Tamandua tetradactyla: one gene and its partner. The protein of the gene in region 2 purifies or fractionates together with the protein of the main gene of each other region. This does not show direct contact. Links are inferred from orthologs where the notes say so. Each region holds a gene or a part of one and is shown on either strand. Other genes may lie near its edges.

What was found.
Region 1: the proteins of DUSP9 (region 2) and PGRMC1 purify together in Homo sapiens (affinity purification with mass spectrometry; 3 studies listed by BioGRID). This does not show direct contact. The link is inferred for Tamandua tetradactyla from reciprocal best matches to the Homo sapiens genes DUSP9 and PGRMC1.

Annotation. Positions count from the first base shown.
Region 1 is NC_135353.1:47,765,869-47,773,871, forward strand, and holds the start of PGRMC1 (membrane-associated progesterone receptor component 1), read right to left. Parts: upstream 3,153-8,003; 5' UTR 3,038-3,152; coding exon 2,710-3,037; intron 1-2,709. UniProt on the Homo sapiens protein: Component of a progesterone-binding protein complex. Binds progesterone. Has many reported cellular functions (heme homeostasis, interaction with CYPs). Required for the maintenance of uterine histoarchitecture and normal female reproductive lifespan.
Region 2 is NC_135353.1:5,850,948-5,858,703, forward strand, and holds the start of DUSP9 (dual specificity protein phosphatase 9), read left to right. Parts: upstream 1-4,407; 5' UTR 4,408-4,413; coding exon 4,414-4,786; intron 4,787-6,012; coding exon 6,013-6,468; intron 6,469-6,705; coding exon 6,706-7,034; 3' UTR 7,035-7,756. UniProt on the Homo sapiens protein: Inactivates MAP kinases. Has a specificity for the ERK family.

The DNA of each region.
Region 1 (8,003 bases), about 42 Mb from region 2:
CTATATGATATTGTACTGAATGTTTGTCTAAGAAAGCAATAAATCATTCTGTAGGTTCTTAAGGTAGATGTTTAGACTTATTTAAATATTGCACAAGTAAATGAAAAGAATTCAGTGTACTTTAAATGATGTGTTATTTCCCCAAAGGCAGGTCGAGTTGCAAACTGACATTAAAAACTTTGTACGTAACCACTATGAGAAGTGTGAGAATGCCTCAGATTTCAACATGGCCTATTCACCTCAAACCTCAAATCTCAATCCACCAGGAAATTTTTACCAATTAGATAAATTTTATGACCAAACTTTTAAAGGCAATTAAGATTCCAAAGAAAAACGGTTGTTTTTAATCATTAGGTGCTGCCATTTCCACTAGAGAAGTTAAAAAAAAAAACTTCCATAGATTTTCCACAAACATACCTCTAGTGGGAATGGTAGCACTAAGTGCTTGAAAATAGGCAAACTGTATTGTTTTGGACCTCGCCATTTCAGAAATTAGTCACTGGATTGGAGGTGGGGGGTTTACCTTACAAATCTCACAGTATACTTAAAGAAAAGGGTATAAGCCTTTGGAGAATACATAATCTTCACAACATATATTCACTAGAGCACAGATTTGTGTCTGTTTTGTTCACTGATATATTCCCAGCACTTATGACAGTGCCTGGCATAAACTGGTAGGCACTCGAAGAATTTTTAGGAATCCTTTACAACACGAAGTATCGTTTCCATACAAAGTTCTCATATAATCACGGGCTCAGTGGATGACAGTGCAGGATGGAGAGACGTGGGAAACCTCAGCATGGACTATCCTTTTAATTTTACAGATGGAAAACTAAGGCCCATGGAGAACAAAGATTTCTAAGATGTCAGCCGGTCAGTGACTCAACCAAGTTGAGATCCACTGTTGCCTGTCTTCCAGTTTTGTGCCCTGTGCTCAGACCTATACTCCTCTCAATGACTTTGCTAACTCTTAATGTGATGATGCCCACGCTTTGCCTACTTTATGGTGTAGCTCAATAATAACAGGGTATTGACATGATTATGTTAATTGTTAATGCCTCTAGGTACACCATAAAGGTGACAAATAATATCGGTGTGATTTTCAAATTATTTTGACAGTTACATGCCTATGGAAATTAGGCATTTCTAAACTGCCCACTAGGAAAAACTAAGTGGGGGTGTTACTTAAGGATCTTAACACATTTGATTTTGATTAACTGGATTGGGAGAATAAGAAGGCAGAAGTGGGATGATGGGATTGCTGCCTTCTATACCCTTCCCTCTCTCCAGGCCAGTGCAGAAGAGAACGCTGTCCATGTGGACTCACCGAGTTGCCTGTTTTTAGGAGTCCATATTGGAGGAGCTAAAATCTCTTTCTCTTACGAATAGTCTATAAAGCAAGACTTTCCAAACCTGTCTGCTTCTCAAATTCGACTGGGAGGGTTTGTTACAATGCAGATTCCTGGACTTCACCCACAAAGACTCCTCTTCCACGGTTATGATGGTTAGGCCAGGAATCAGTATTTTTCCTCAAGTGCATCAGGTGACTCTGATGCGCAACTGGATTTAGAAAAGCCTCATCTCTAAGGAACCCTTCAAGCCTGCCCCCTCCAATGGCTTAGCAGTCATCTATTCCTGATGCGCAACTGGATTTAGAAAAGCCTCATCTCTAAGGAACCCTTCAAGCCTGCCCCCTCCAATGGCTTAGCAGTCATCTATTCCTCATTCCCCTTCTGGTTGGCTTCTGAAATCCAACCCCCCCCACCCCCGCCCCGCCCGCCCAAATCAGCAGCCTTCCTAGCTCCACCCCTTTTGTTTCTCAGGATCCTCCCACTTCTCCCTCCCTCCATTAAAAATTTTTTTTTTGGCTTCTAGTCCTTTCTCTCCTGCTTACACTAAATACTGCATTACCTTATCATCTTGCCACATGATCCTTGTCCACCACATTCAGCTTTTATTCTTCACTGAAATCAGTTCCCTTTCTCCAATGGAGCCTCCCTGCTCATCATTCAGCTTTTCCCCGTCTGCCACACACAGTACGCGCACACACATACGAGACACATGCCACACACATACCTGACACATGCAAGTCTGCACGCGCGTGCGCACACACACCCGACAAGCCACATACAGTGTACACACACATCGCTTGTGCACACACACACGCGTGCACGCACACACAACCCCCACCATCATACACAATGCTTCTTTCTACCTGCTGCTAATCCCATCTCCCAAACCCCCACATTCCACCATGGCTACTCCCGGCGTCATTGGCCTTCGCGTCTTCTCCAAGCCTGGACCTCCCTCTTCAGCCCTCCCCACCCCCCCTTCCATTTCTCCCTCGAGACACCCTCATTTCCTTTCTCGAGCCCGACACCACCCCCTCCCTTCCAAGAATTCCCAAACCATTACCTTTGGAAACTCCCCCAACACCCCGCGTCCCACCCACGCCCGGCCTAAGCTCCACAATCTTCCTCCATGCCTCCATCTCCGCGCGAGCGGCGCGGGACCGGGATATGCGCCCTCCACAGGCCCGCCGCCCTCCCGCCCGAATCTCTCAAGCCTCCTCTGCCTGCCGGGGGAGCCGCCCCACCTACGACCGCTCTGCTCTCCTCAAGGTTCGCCCTCCCCTTCGCCTCTCCTGGGCCCTGCCCCGTGCCAGGGTCCCCTTCTTTTGTTTTCTCGCCCCTCTGCCGGCCGCCGTACCGGGCCCATAGAACTTGCGGCCTTTGGTCACGTCGAACACCTTGCCGTTGATGGCCATGAGTATGCGCGAATCCTGGACGCCGTCGAAGCGCCGCAGCTCGGCAGGGGTGAAGTCGCGCCGCTTGAGGCGGGGCAGCCGGGGCGGCTCGTCGTCGTCGCTGTCGCCGCCGGCCGCCGGCTGGTCGCCGCGTACGATCTTGTAGAGCAGGAAGATGCAGAGGCCGAGCAGCAGCAGGTTGAGCGGCGACGTGAAGATCTCGTGCAGCAGCCCGCCGCTCTCCAGGTCGCTCGGGTCGGCGCCCGTAGCCGCCACATCCTCGGCAGCCATGATCTCTGGAGCAAAGGTTGGACTGGGCTAGGTAGGGCTCTGGAACTAGCCGCTTCCTTCTCCCTCTCAGCTAGCGAGTGGCGCGGGGCGCTAGGCGGCGAGCGACCACAAGCCAGGGGCGAGGGGCGGGGCCGGAGGCGGGGCTTCCCAGCCCCGCCTCTAGCGTGGCGGTCTTGGTGCCCTGCTGGGCTCAGTCCCGCTTATGCCGGCTGGGGGGGGCGGGGGGCCCTCGTTGCCTCCGGTCCTGCTCCTCACCCCCCACCCCACCCCCACCGCCACCCCACCCCACTCCCCCGCCACTGCCCAGGCCAGATCCTGCCTCTTTTTCCGCCGATCGCAGCCCGCCCTTCGGTTCTACCTGCGAGGCCCCTGCGCGGGCCTCTCATCAGCCTCTGCCAGCTTCTATAACAGCCACGCAGCGCGCATCCCTCCCCGGCACCCCCCTCCCCCCATTGCTCCTCGCAGACCCTCCCGCTGTGAGAGCCTTGGCTTGGTAAAGCTCCGTCTGAGGCCTCCTCCCCCACCTGATGCTAGCCAAACACCGACTCCATTTCTCTTGCTTGGGGTTTTTGCCGGCTCCATTACGAAGCTTCACATCACGTCCCGGCCACCCCCAGGGAACCGCAAAGCTCTCTTTAGGAGACAAGAAACTCATTCCTCGAGCTCCCTTTTTCCACTTTAGAGACCCGGGCTACCAATTTTCACCTTGGGATCCCCGCCCCGGTTCGTTCTCTTTGACGACCCTCCCCCAGATGTTGTGGGACGGACACCCCTGGGATGACTAAAGTGGGTGTACAGGCCCTTCTGACAACTCTCCCAATATCTGGGAGAAAGAATTAGATCCCCCGATTTACTGTGGGTCAGTACTTGGGAAAACGAAATCCTTTTGCAAACTCTGATTTGCTTAAGGCTCAGCACGCAATGTTCAGTTCAGAATAATGGCCAAAGTTTCTTTGTTTGGCAGCATTTTTCTGTTTGCAATCTGTCGAGCTACCCTTGGCGGTCACAATAACCCTGAGCTGGAGTACGGAGGAAGGCAGGAGTTAGAAAGGATCCTAGCTTTCCTCCCCCTCCCTTCTTAGGTACTTCATCCGGGCTTTTGATGTGCTAACTAACTGGCTGCACAGAAGTGTGTAAGAAGGGAGGGTTGACTCTACCATCCAGAGTCCTAATCTGGCACTCCCCTTTATTGTGGCCTGGGGAGGGAGGGAGGGGGAGGGGAGCGGAAGAAAGGATAGAGAGAGGGGAAAATAATTAAAACCAAGCCATGCACACATCTGCAGCCCAGAGCAGTACTTTTCCATCAAGGGTTCTGTTCGCTTGCGCATAATTTACTCCCCCACCCAACACGCAGGAGACTCGAGGAAAGAACTGGCTCCTTAAGTCAGAATTCTAAAACCTGACTGGGCCAAACATTACTGGCAAAAGCTGCTGCTATTCCCTGCTCTCCCCCTCATCTTCGTAAAATATTTTAAAGGCATATGAACAGCGACAACGATAACTTTAAATCGGGCCTACGCAGTTTTTTTCCTCAAAGAGTTAAATTTAGAATTAGCCGAAACGGCCTTTCTAGATTTTTTGTCAAACCTCTTCAATTTAATCATGGGGAAATTGAGGCTCAAACTGAGGGCACTCGGTGTTGGGTAGAATCCATTTATCTTTTCTTAAAAACGTGTATGGCCAAAACAATTTTAAAAAACAACAAACTTGTGAAAAATAGTTTCATTTGCAACTAACTTAACAGACAACGGGCTAATATTCTATAAGAGCTTATTTTAATTGGTAAGAAATCCATAAGATTTTGTCACTAAATGGGAAGCATTGGAACAAGTAGTTCACAAAAGAGATGATACTAATGGGGAATAACTCTATAAAAAATTTTGAGTCACGCTAGTAATAAAAGGAAAAAATCGAGATACCACTTTCACTTAGAGTAGAAAAATGAAAGAAAAAAAGTATAACATGCAAAGCTGGCAAGAGAGTGGTGAGACTCTCATCACTGCTTGGGGGAAGAAGAAATTGGTATAACCTTCTGCTAGCCATAAAAAAATGTTTCTATCCATTAATCCCACTTCCAGCAAGCTACTCTTCAACCCTGTAATTACACTTCTTGGAATTCATCCCGAGAAACTACTTACAAATGCAGGCAAAGATTTCATTGCTACCATGCTCATCAGAGAATAATTTTTAATATGGAAAACCTGGAAACAACCTAAATGTTCACTTTGACTGAAATGGCTAATTAATCAATCCACTTGAATTGTTATAAAACTATAAAGTGGCATATGGTGCAGCCATACAAATATTAGTATGACATGGGAAAATGTCCTAATCGAGAGAAACAGGATACAAACCAATATACTGTATGAACTCAATTATGTAAAAAAAAAAAAAATGCATAAAAGAAAGCTTGAAAGAAAACAAGCTAAAATGTTAACTGTTGTGAATTGTTAGTATTTTCTTTGTACTTTTCTACATTTTCCACAATGAGTACATGCCACTGTTAGCCTCAGGAAAAAATGGTTTATTATTTCTCTTCTGAAAAATGTAGAACAGTAATATGTGTTCTCTATAACAAACTTAAACAATACATAAGTATATAAAGTTAAAAAAAAAAAAAAAAGAAACTCATTTTCTCCCTCTTCCCATTCCAGCTCCCAACCACTATGAACAATTTGGTTTATATTTTCTTGAAGACTTATGCAACCCCCCACACATATGCCACAGATTTTGTTTTACAAAACTGGGAAAAACTTTAAATAATACATGATTTATTAGGTTTTTCCTAATACAGAGAGACACAAAGTAAAAAATAGAATCAGGCCTATTAGCTCTAGGCCTAGATAACATCTTTGCCATTTTCAAAAGGTTATATATGTTTAAGGCTGGAAAATTCAAACTATGAAAAGATACAGAAGGCAAATTGAAGCCCCACTATTAGCAGTGGGGAAAATGGTGGAGGGCTGGGGGTGGTTTATAATTTTCATTTAGCACAGTCCAGTGTCCTTTCCATTATACCTGTGTGTCCCCTTGAAGGGGTAATGGATTAAAGGGAGTCCTGCTTCAGGGTAGACAATTTATGTGATATAAAACTTCAGAAGTGATGCCATTTGAAAATATAAAATCAGATTTGATATGAAATGAAGTGGGTTGTTAACTAACATTGGAACCTTGAGTTTGTTGAAGGTTGAAGACACCGTTCTGGTCCATGTCAGAAACAATATGCAATGGAAATGCCTCATCTAGGGTGACAGTTCTCAGCAAGGGTGCTTCTGACTTAAAAATCTTTCCCCCAGAACAAGAGAGTTATATTATACATGCTCGTGGGCTTCAAATCAATTCCTAAAGTCTAAGTAATTGACCTGAGGACTACCTATTTTCTAAGATATGGGACGTATTTTAATGTCATCTCTTTTTTAATGTTCCCAAACTTCTTGCCTCCTTAAGTTATTTTCAAAAGCTTTTAAAGAAAAATAGAACAATTGGCTGATTAGCTTGAAAATGTATGGGAAATAATGCAACCTCACTAATAATCAAATAAATCCAAAGGAAAATAATAATGAAGTTCCATTTTTTTCATCATTCAAGTTACTGGCACCTTCTTTTTCATTTGATAATCAGTTTTTAAGAATGGGTAATACTTGTCTATTGGCAAGCATATAGCAAAATGAACACTCTGACACAATGTTGACAAGAGTGAACTTGCTAGACCACAAGGGATCTTTGTTTTGTTTCACTGATGTGTTTCAAACCTCTAGATGGTGTTTGGCACATAGTAGGCACTCAACATATATTTGCTGAATTAAATTAAATTAATTGGGTACAGGCTTCCTAGAAAGCTCTTTGGCAATATGTATAAGAGCCTTGAGTTATTTATAATCTATGAACAAGGAATTTAATTTCTAGAATTTTTTTCTAGAGAAGTATTCAGAGATGTGAAGAGAGATTAGAACAGAAAAATCACAAACCTTGACATATGATAGCAAGAAACCGGAAACCGGAGCGTCCAAAAATGCTCCACTCTAACTCAGAGTAAAAGCCAAAGTCCCTACAGAGGATCTACACCATCCCACTCAGCTCAGCCATTTCACCCCAATGTTTCTTTAGGACATTAGGGCCTCATTTACCACTTCCTACCCCTGTCACTCTATTCTGGCCACAGTGGCCTCTTTGTTGTCCCTCAAACAACTGAGGTCTCTGTACTTGTGAACCCCTTTGCCTGGTAATGCTCTTCCCCAGATATCTTCATGGATCATTCTCTTACCTCTTTGAAATTTGCAATATTCACCCCCCACTCCCCAATCCCCTTCTCTACTTTATTTTTCTCCATTGCATTTACTGCTTCCTAATATACAATATCATTTATTCATTGAAAAAAATTATCTCCTCCAACTTGAATATGTTACATGAGAACAGAGATTTGTCTCATTTCCTTACTATTGTGTCCCCTGCACTTAAGATAGTACCTGACATATAATAAGTGCTCAATAAATATTCATGCAATTGAACTGAATTGGATATGGTTACACATGCACAGAAAAAAAAATTGAAGGAAATACACCAGAAAGTTAATAGTGGTTATCTCTGGGTTTTGAGAACATGGGTGATTTTTTTTCGCTTCTTTTATAGAGAGCATAAATTACTTTTATTACTGTAAAAAGCAGTAACATGTTAAGAAATTTAAAGACTACAAAACAATATTCCAAAGTTACCAATGATATCTTGACTGATAGAGCACATTTTCAATTTCAGAGACTAGAGTAGGCAGCACTTAGTGCTAAGATTTTAAAGAGACTCAAAAGGGGCCTGCCCATCTACATCCATTTGACAAACTTTTTGTGTGCTCCTGCTCCATGCTACGCTCTCGGTTGGGTGCTAGCGATGCAAAGTCTCTGCTCCTCAAGAAAGGAGCTCTCATCTATCAAGGGCAGCAGTTAAAAGGTTATAGATGCCGTGGTCAAGGGCT
Region 2 (7,756 bases):
GCCCCCATCGCAAATAGCCCCCAGTATCCCCCCCAGCCCCTCCCCGGGCCCCTCCCACCACTCCTCCCCGACACCTGGCACAGCAGCCCTAGCGTCTGTAGCATAGGGTGGCTTCTCTGCCAGCCTCCTCTAGCTCTCCTTTGGCAGCGACTCCCAGCCTGGGGACCCCCAGGTGCCTCTCTACACAGACCTTGAGACTTCCCAGCGACTGGCCCACCCTCTTCCCTAAAAGGACAGAAGGTATTTGGGACCCAAGGTACGGTACCTAGATGCGCGGGGGCGGGGCCCCCGGGGAAGGGGCTCCGCGAGGTGGCAGAGGGAAGCCGGCGCTGAAATGCACCAAAGGGGCGCCAGCTGCCCGACCCGCACGTAGTAGGTCGGTTGCGTGAGGGCTGGAGTGCGCGTACACCGTTCGTGTGCCCGTGTGCGTGTGGGCTGCGGGGAGGGCGGTGTGTGCACGTGTGCTGGTGCGTGCTGGGGGGTGGGGTGGGCAAGGCAAGCCACAAGAACGGCACTCTCCCGGGCTCCCTCGCTCTACAATTGGTTACATTCACTCCTGCCTTCTTTGTCAACGAGCATTTCATCCGCGAGCGCCGGGCGTGTGTCCGGCCGGGACTGGGGACTGGGGACCCGGGCCAGCCCGGGGCCGCCTTGGAGGAACTCCCAGTCCCGCCAGGAGCCAGACCGGGAAACCCAGAAAGCAGGCCCCGGCAGAAAGTGCATTTGGTGGAAAAGAGACTGGGTTTGGCAGGAGCGCTGTCGCTGGGAGTTGTGCTCCTGGCCATGTGACCCGGCCGCGACAGCCGAAATCCTGCCGCTTGGCCCCGGGGAGCGATGCATTTCGGGGGGTGGGGGGCGGCGCCGGTCTCCGGAGACTCCGGGGACTGGAGGGCGCACGCGGCGCGCGCGGAGCCTGCGGGTGGCGGCACCGCTGCGGCCTCCAGGGGGCGCTGGCCGGGCCGGGCGGAGACGGGGGTTCTCCCCGGTGGGCCTTGCCCGCGCCAGGACGCCGGGGAGGGCGGGGGCGGAGGGCGCAGCGCCCACCCTGCGGAGAGTGGCGAGCGCGCAGCCCGCAGCCTGGCTCCGCCCGCTGGAGAGGGCCTGGCGACGCCACCCCCACCCCCACCCCCAGAGCCCGCCCGGGGAGCGGCTGCGGGGCGGGGCCGGCGCCCAGAGCAGGCGCTGCAGGGGGCCCGATGGGGGGAGGGCCAGGCGAGGGTCGGGGGAGCGGGGCTTGGCCGCGCTGGGCCCTGCAGTGCGGAGGTGGCAACAGGTTCCCGTTTGTCCTGCTGCTGGCGCGGCGGGCGCTGCTGGCGCCGGGCACTGAGCGCTCAATTTCGAGATTGAATCCCCCCCACCCCACCCCGCTCCCGAGCGCTTTCTCCCGGGCTGCACGGTCCGAGGGCTCGCCAGCGCGGGTCTGGACCAAGGGGCGCGGGAGCCGCTCAGGAGGTGCTGGGAGACACGGGCCCCGGCACTGAGGGATGGGGTGCGGGGCTCTTGGAGCCTTGGCGTCCCTTTCCTTCGCCATCGCGGAGGTGGCTCCCTCTCCGGAGGGCACGCCTGGGCATTTCAGGAACTCCTTTTCCCCGCAAGTTGGGACCCTCTCTGCAAACACACTAAGTCCCATGGCTGGCCTGGCTGCTCCGTAGGTGTCTTCCAGCTCCGTGTACGTTCCAGCCTGTGCCCCCCCCACCCCACACTGCCCACAGCCTGTCTGAGCTCCAGTCCCACGCACCCAAGCTTGGCACATTGGAGACCCTCCTCGGTGACCCCCCTCGCCCACCCAGGTTCCAAGGCTGCCCGCCCACTCCGAGGTCCCGCACACAGCTGCAGCAGACCCTCCAGGATGGGCATCCTTGCCAGATGGCAGCGGTTGCCCACCTTTATCCCCCTGCTAGGATGAGAAGGTAGAAGGGGGCAGTGGGCCCGGCTGTGGCCCCTGTCCCTCCAAGTCTGTAGGCTCCCGGGAAAGGCAGCCTCAGGGAACTGGGTCAGTGGCTGGAGGCCCCTTGGGTGGTGGTGGTGGGGGTGGGGAACTGGGTTACCTAGAGGTGTCCTGGCTTTCTGTACCCTGCTTTCTTCTACCCAGCATTACCTCACAAGCATTTTCTCACCTTACCCTGAAGTTCATGACACCAGTCTCTTCGTGCACATAAGGGACTGGATTTAACTGCTCTGTTTACTCTTGATACAAATTGCCAAGTTAATTTCCAAAAGGGCTTTGCCCATGTATCATGCTACCAGCAATACAGCAGCATGCCAATTTCACAGCACCCTTGCTAGCACTGCATGTTCCCATTTTGAAAATATTTTACTGTTGTATCAGGTGGGAAGTGTTACCTTGTTCTTTGGTTTGGGTATTTTGTTTTGCTCTCTTTTGTTTTTCCTCCCTTGCCTGAGGTTGAACATTTCCCCCAAATACCTTTTAACCAGTTGCATTTCCCCCTTTAGGCAATAGCTTCTTGTTCCCTGCTGGTCTGTCAGGGTCTTAACCTGTTTGTTAACTCACCTGAGCTTTGTGTTTTGTGCTGCACATTTTGCTCCAACACTACTCTTTGCTTTTGGTAGATTTTCAGCCAAGAAGGGACACAGCCAGCTCACCGCTTTGGAAAGGTGCCCCAATCATGCTACCTGTCCCGCTGTCCTGGCCTTTATCCCATCCCTCTGCTAGCTCCCCGCGTCCTTGTCTATGGCTTATCTGTCCCAGGAAGCTGAGCGCCACATGAGCAAGGACCCTGTGAGTCCAAGTGTATCACCCTATGATGTGATGTGAGCACCATGGAGGCCACTGGGCTTGGCTCCACAAATGGATGCATTCTGGGGCAGGCTAGCGGTGACCTGGGCGAGAGCTGGTCCATTCCAGCCCTCGAGCAGTGCAGGGACGAGGGGGAGTACAGAGGAATCCAAGAGAAAACTTTAAGTAAAATCTACTTCCACCACCACCCCTTGATTTGATGGGAGCTGGGGAGTTCAAGGGAGGAAGCAGAGCAAGGAGCCTGGGGTGACTCCTAGGCTCCTGGCCTGGGCGAGAATGCTGGGTGACAAAGTGGAGGGCAGGGGGAGACAAGTAATGTGCTAAGAGCAGAGGGTGGAATGTTTGGAGCTGGGAGCTCAGAGCTCCTGGGTGCCCTGTTCTTGGGCCAGGCCTGTCCCCATGAAATCAGCCTGGGATACAGCTCTGAGCAGGAAGCTGGCAGTGGGTTTCTGGGCCAGCCCACCAGGCTGAAGCCAGGATGTCCAGGCAGGCGACAGAATGGCCAAGAGTCACCTAGCCAGTTGAGTTAGAGGCAGCCTCTGGGGCAGGGGCACAGGGCTCTCGTCCCCACCCCCTCCCCCTGCCTCGGAGGTGGGGAGGAAGGGGGCGGGGGGGGGGGGGGGCCCAGGCTGGCGCCGGCCTGAGGAGCTGCAGTCGGTCCCCTGCTGGGCCCCTGACCTGCCCTTGGCCCCTGCCCGGGGCCCGTCCCGCCTCGGTGGAAGCCCCGGCTCAGCGCGCCACTCGCGGGGCCCACCCGACTGCTTTCCCTGGAACCCGTTGGCTCGCCGGCCCCCCGGGCCCTCCCCTGTCCGCCCCCAGGCCCCGCCCCGGCCCGCCCCTCGGAAAGGCAACTCCACGTCCAAAGGAAGCGGCTTGCAGCAGGGAAGCTGGGTCCGGGTGCCAGGAAGCAGGGCTCTCTTCCACGTGCGCCGCCGCCGCTGCCGCCGTTCCGCCCCCTTCCCGGCGGTGGGATCTGGGGACTCCCTGCCCGGGGAAGGCGTCCCGTGCCCCGCTGTGGCCAGGACGTCCGCGCGCGGCCACCGGCTGCACGATCGCGCTCCAGGTCTCTCTCCTTTTGTTCTCTCCTCCCGGGGGAGGGGACCGGGACCGGGTCCGCTCCGCGAGGGGCCGCCGAGGTCGGTCACCTCGGCGCCACCTCTGAGCCCGGGCCCGCCCGGCCATGGGGGAGACCTCGGCCTTGAACTCTCCCCACGACCCCAGGCGCGTGGAGCCCAACTCAAACTTGGGGCGGGGGGTAGGGGGGGTGATAGCGGGCAGACGGAGGGAGACACTCAGGCAGGGGCTGTGAAGGGCGGTGGCCGTTGCCTGGGGGTGCCCCACGAGGGCCCGGGGAGGGACCTATGGCCCTTGAAGGGGCCGTTGGACGGCCAACCTGCCCTTTCCGGGGGTAGGGGGGCCCTCACGCTTCCCTTCCCGGGAGGTGGCCGCCTCGGGTGTCAGGCTTGGGGTGCCTCTCCCAGTGGAAGGGCGGGAGAAGGGGCGCAGGCAGTGGCAGGAGGTGGCCCGCGGGAGACGGGGTTGGCTTCCCGTCTTAGCACAGCGCCCCCGGAGCGCGCGGAGGACGCGGGCTCACGCCGGGGACTTGTCCTCTCTCCGCAGCTCCCGTGGCCCGACGTGGCAGGAACCGCGCGCCCATGGAGGGCCTGGGCCGCTCGTGCCTGTGGCTGCGCCGGGAGCTGTCGCCCCCGCGGCCCCGGCTGCTGCTCCTGGACTGCCGCAGCCGCGAGCTGTACGAGTCGGCGCGCATCGGCGGGGCGCTGAGCGTGGCGCTGCCCGCGCTGCTGCTGCGCCGCCTGCGGAGGGGGAGCCTGTCGGTGCGCGCGCTGCTGCCCGGGCCGCCGCTGCAGCCGCCGCCGCCCTCCCCGGTGCTCCTGTACGACCAGGGCGGGGGTCGGCGCCGGCGCGGGGAGGCCGAGGCCGAGACGGAGGAGTGGGAGGCCGAGTCGGTGCTGGGCACGCTGCTGCAGAAGCTGCGGGAGGAGGGGTACCTGGCCTACTACCTCCAGGGTAGGTGCGCGGCGGCGGCCGGCGGGGAGCTTGCCCTCCCTGGGGGGTGGGGGGGTGGAGCGGTCATAAGTGATATTGACCTTGGGTAGGTCCCACCTCATCTGGGCTCAAGGGGAGCTGAAGGTGCTGGGGGGCAAGGGGCCAGGAGAGGGGTGCTGAGCATAACCTTGGGCAAGTCCTTTCCCTTCTGGAGCCCTGATATCTGGATCTGGAATATGGGGAGAATTTGGGCCCACCCGTCCCAGCTCCACGGAATCTCAAGAACAAAGTGTGGGTGCAGTCGCCCTGCCTCCTCCCAGCTGCTGAGAAAGGGATGACAGGGAGACAGAGCCAGATGCCATCCCGCAGATGCTGTGAAGGCCGGAGCCCAAAGGGGCAGGGACCTGCCTCCCCCACTGCAGCCTGCTCCCACCCCAGTGCCCTGGCAGGGCTGGGGCTGGGGGGCAGGGGAGAAGAGGAGGCAGGGTGCTAGAGGCCTGTTGACTCCTTGCCGAGCCACCCACCCCCACTCCCACCAAGGCCCAGGGCCGTGCAGCCAGCTGTCCCTGCCTCTTTGCCTGTGAAGGAGTCAGAGGACTGTCATACCATGAGCCCTTCTAAAGGCACCAGAATATATAAATATAGAAGGCCTTAGATTTCCAGCCCCCAGCCAGGAGAAATAGTAGGTGTTCAGGTGGAATGTCACACTCTCTTCCAAGTCACCTTCTTTGAGGTCCCACTTCGTCCCTGAAGAGGCCCTGAGATGGCTGTTACCCAGCCCCTGTCCCCAGGATGCTTCTGCTTTTGATCTGTGGATCAGAAGTTGCCCACACAGAAAGCGCCATGAAACAGAGCTGAGTGCTTTCTCTTCTTTAACTGATGGCGGCTGTCCTCCTTGAGGCCACCAGTCCACCTAAACACCATTGAGCCCGCACGCCTGCCTGGGATCAGCTCCTGGGGCGCACGGGTCTGTTGGGGTGGGTCTGCCTGGCCGGCTTCGAGCGTCCCCCAGAGGCTGCAGCGGGCACTTGCCCTCCAAGACCGAGGCCCACGGTGTGGCGGAAAGGTGGCCCTGCACCTGCTGTGGGTCCGGGTACTTCTTACTGAGCTTTGGGGACACCTGCAAACGTTCCCAGGTGTCCAGGGTTGGCAGCGGGGTGGGGGCTGCTCCGGCTCAGCTGCTCGGCTGCGCAGAGGGCCAGGTCAGCAGGACCCTCCCCCTCTCCCTCCCCCCCACCCCCCCACAGGTGGCTTCAGCCGATTCCAGGCCGAGTGCCCTCACCTGTGTGAGACCAGCCTGAACGCCCGCGGGGGGCCCAGCACGGCCCTGGCGGCCGGCCCGGTGCCCGTGGTGGGGCTGGGCAGCCTGTGCCTCGGCCACGACTGCTCAGACACCGAGACCGAGGGTGACCGTGGCCCCATGAGCTGTGGTCTGGATTCGGAGGGCAGCACCCCCCCGCCAGCGGGCCTGCTGCCCACCTGCCCCGTCCAGATCCTGCCCAACCTGTATCTGGGCAGTGCCCGGGATTCGGCCAACTTGGAGAGTCTGGCCAAGCTGGGCATCCGCTACATCCTCAATGTCACCCCCAACCTCCCCAACCTCTTTGAGAAGAACGGCGACTTTCACTACAAGCAAATCCCCATCTCGGACCACTGGAGCCAGAACTTGTCCCAGTTCTTTCCAGAAGCCATTGCGTTCATCGGTGAGCGCGCCCTGCCCTGTCCCGCCCTGCCCCGGCCAGCCCAGGCTGCAGAGCAACGGGGGTGCGGGGGGTGGGAGTGGGGGGACATGCTGAGTCGCCCTCCCCAGAGGGAGCAGGTGGCAGCTTCCACGCGGGACACCCGGGCCCGACCCTGCGACAGTCCGCGCCCCCACCCCCCCCCGGGCCCTGGCCTCACGGTGGCCGTTGGCTGTCCCCCGCCCCCCACTCCCCACCCAGATGAGGCCTTGTCCCAGAACTGCGGGGTGCTCGTGCACTGCCTGGCCGGCGTCAGCCGCTCTGTCACTGTCACCGTGGCCTACCTCATGCAGAAGCTCCACCTGTCCCTCGGCGACGCCTACGACCTGGTCAAGAGGAAGAAGTCCAATGTGTCGCCCAACTTCAACTTCCTGGGCCAGCTGCTCGACTTCGAGCGCAGCCTGAGGCTGGAGGAGCGGCGCTCCCGGGAGCGGGGCAGCGGGGGTCAGGGGTCCGCCGCCTCCGAGGACCCCCCCTCCTTCTTCACCACCCCCACCAGCGATGGCGTCTTCCAGCCGGACCCCACATAGGGCCCCGAAGGCCCTCGGGGTGGGGGTGGGGGTGGAGGGCTGGGCGGCTGGGTCCCCACCCGTACCCACTGCCACCCCCACCCGCTGCTCCCACCCACCTCCTGTCTTGGTGGGGGGAGCTCATGGGAGGGGACCCAGCTATAAGTGGGGGGCGGGGGGGGGAGCACAATCCTTCTCATGGGGTGCTGGAAAGAAGCCGGAGCCGGAAGCCTGGAACACGCGAAGATTGTGCCTCCAGGGTAGTGAAGCGGGGTGGGGGGGGTAACTTGTCCCACCCACTTGCGACATCCACGGGAATCCTATTAAATGTGCCTACGGGCCAGGCTCGGTGGCCTGACCCGCCGCCCTTTCGGGTGGAACCTCGCTCCTGAACTTGCCTCTTCTGCGACTGTTACTTTTTTTCTTTGGGGGGTGGGGGGCCGCCCATTCCGAAGGACCCTGCCAGAAGACTGCCAGTCCCCGGGCCTCCCTGCTCCCTCGGCCCATTGGGGAAGGGTGCGTCCTCTCCAGCCACCTCATGTGCCAGCAGGGACCTGGGCCCAGGTCCCCCCAAATGGCTGCTTTGCAGAGGGGTCCGCCTGCCAGGGGGTTGGGGCGCCGAGGTGGAGCGGCCCCCCGGTGCCCACGGGGACAGCCCTCTGGGTGGCTCCGGGCTGGGGAGGGCGCCAGCCTGGGAGCCGCTGGGCAGGCTCCCGGCCCCACATCTGGCGCCCTGACTGTTT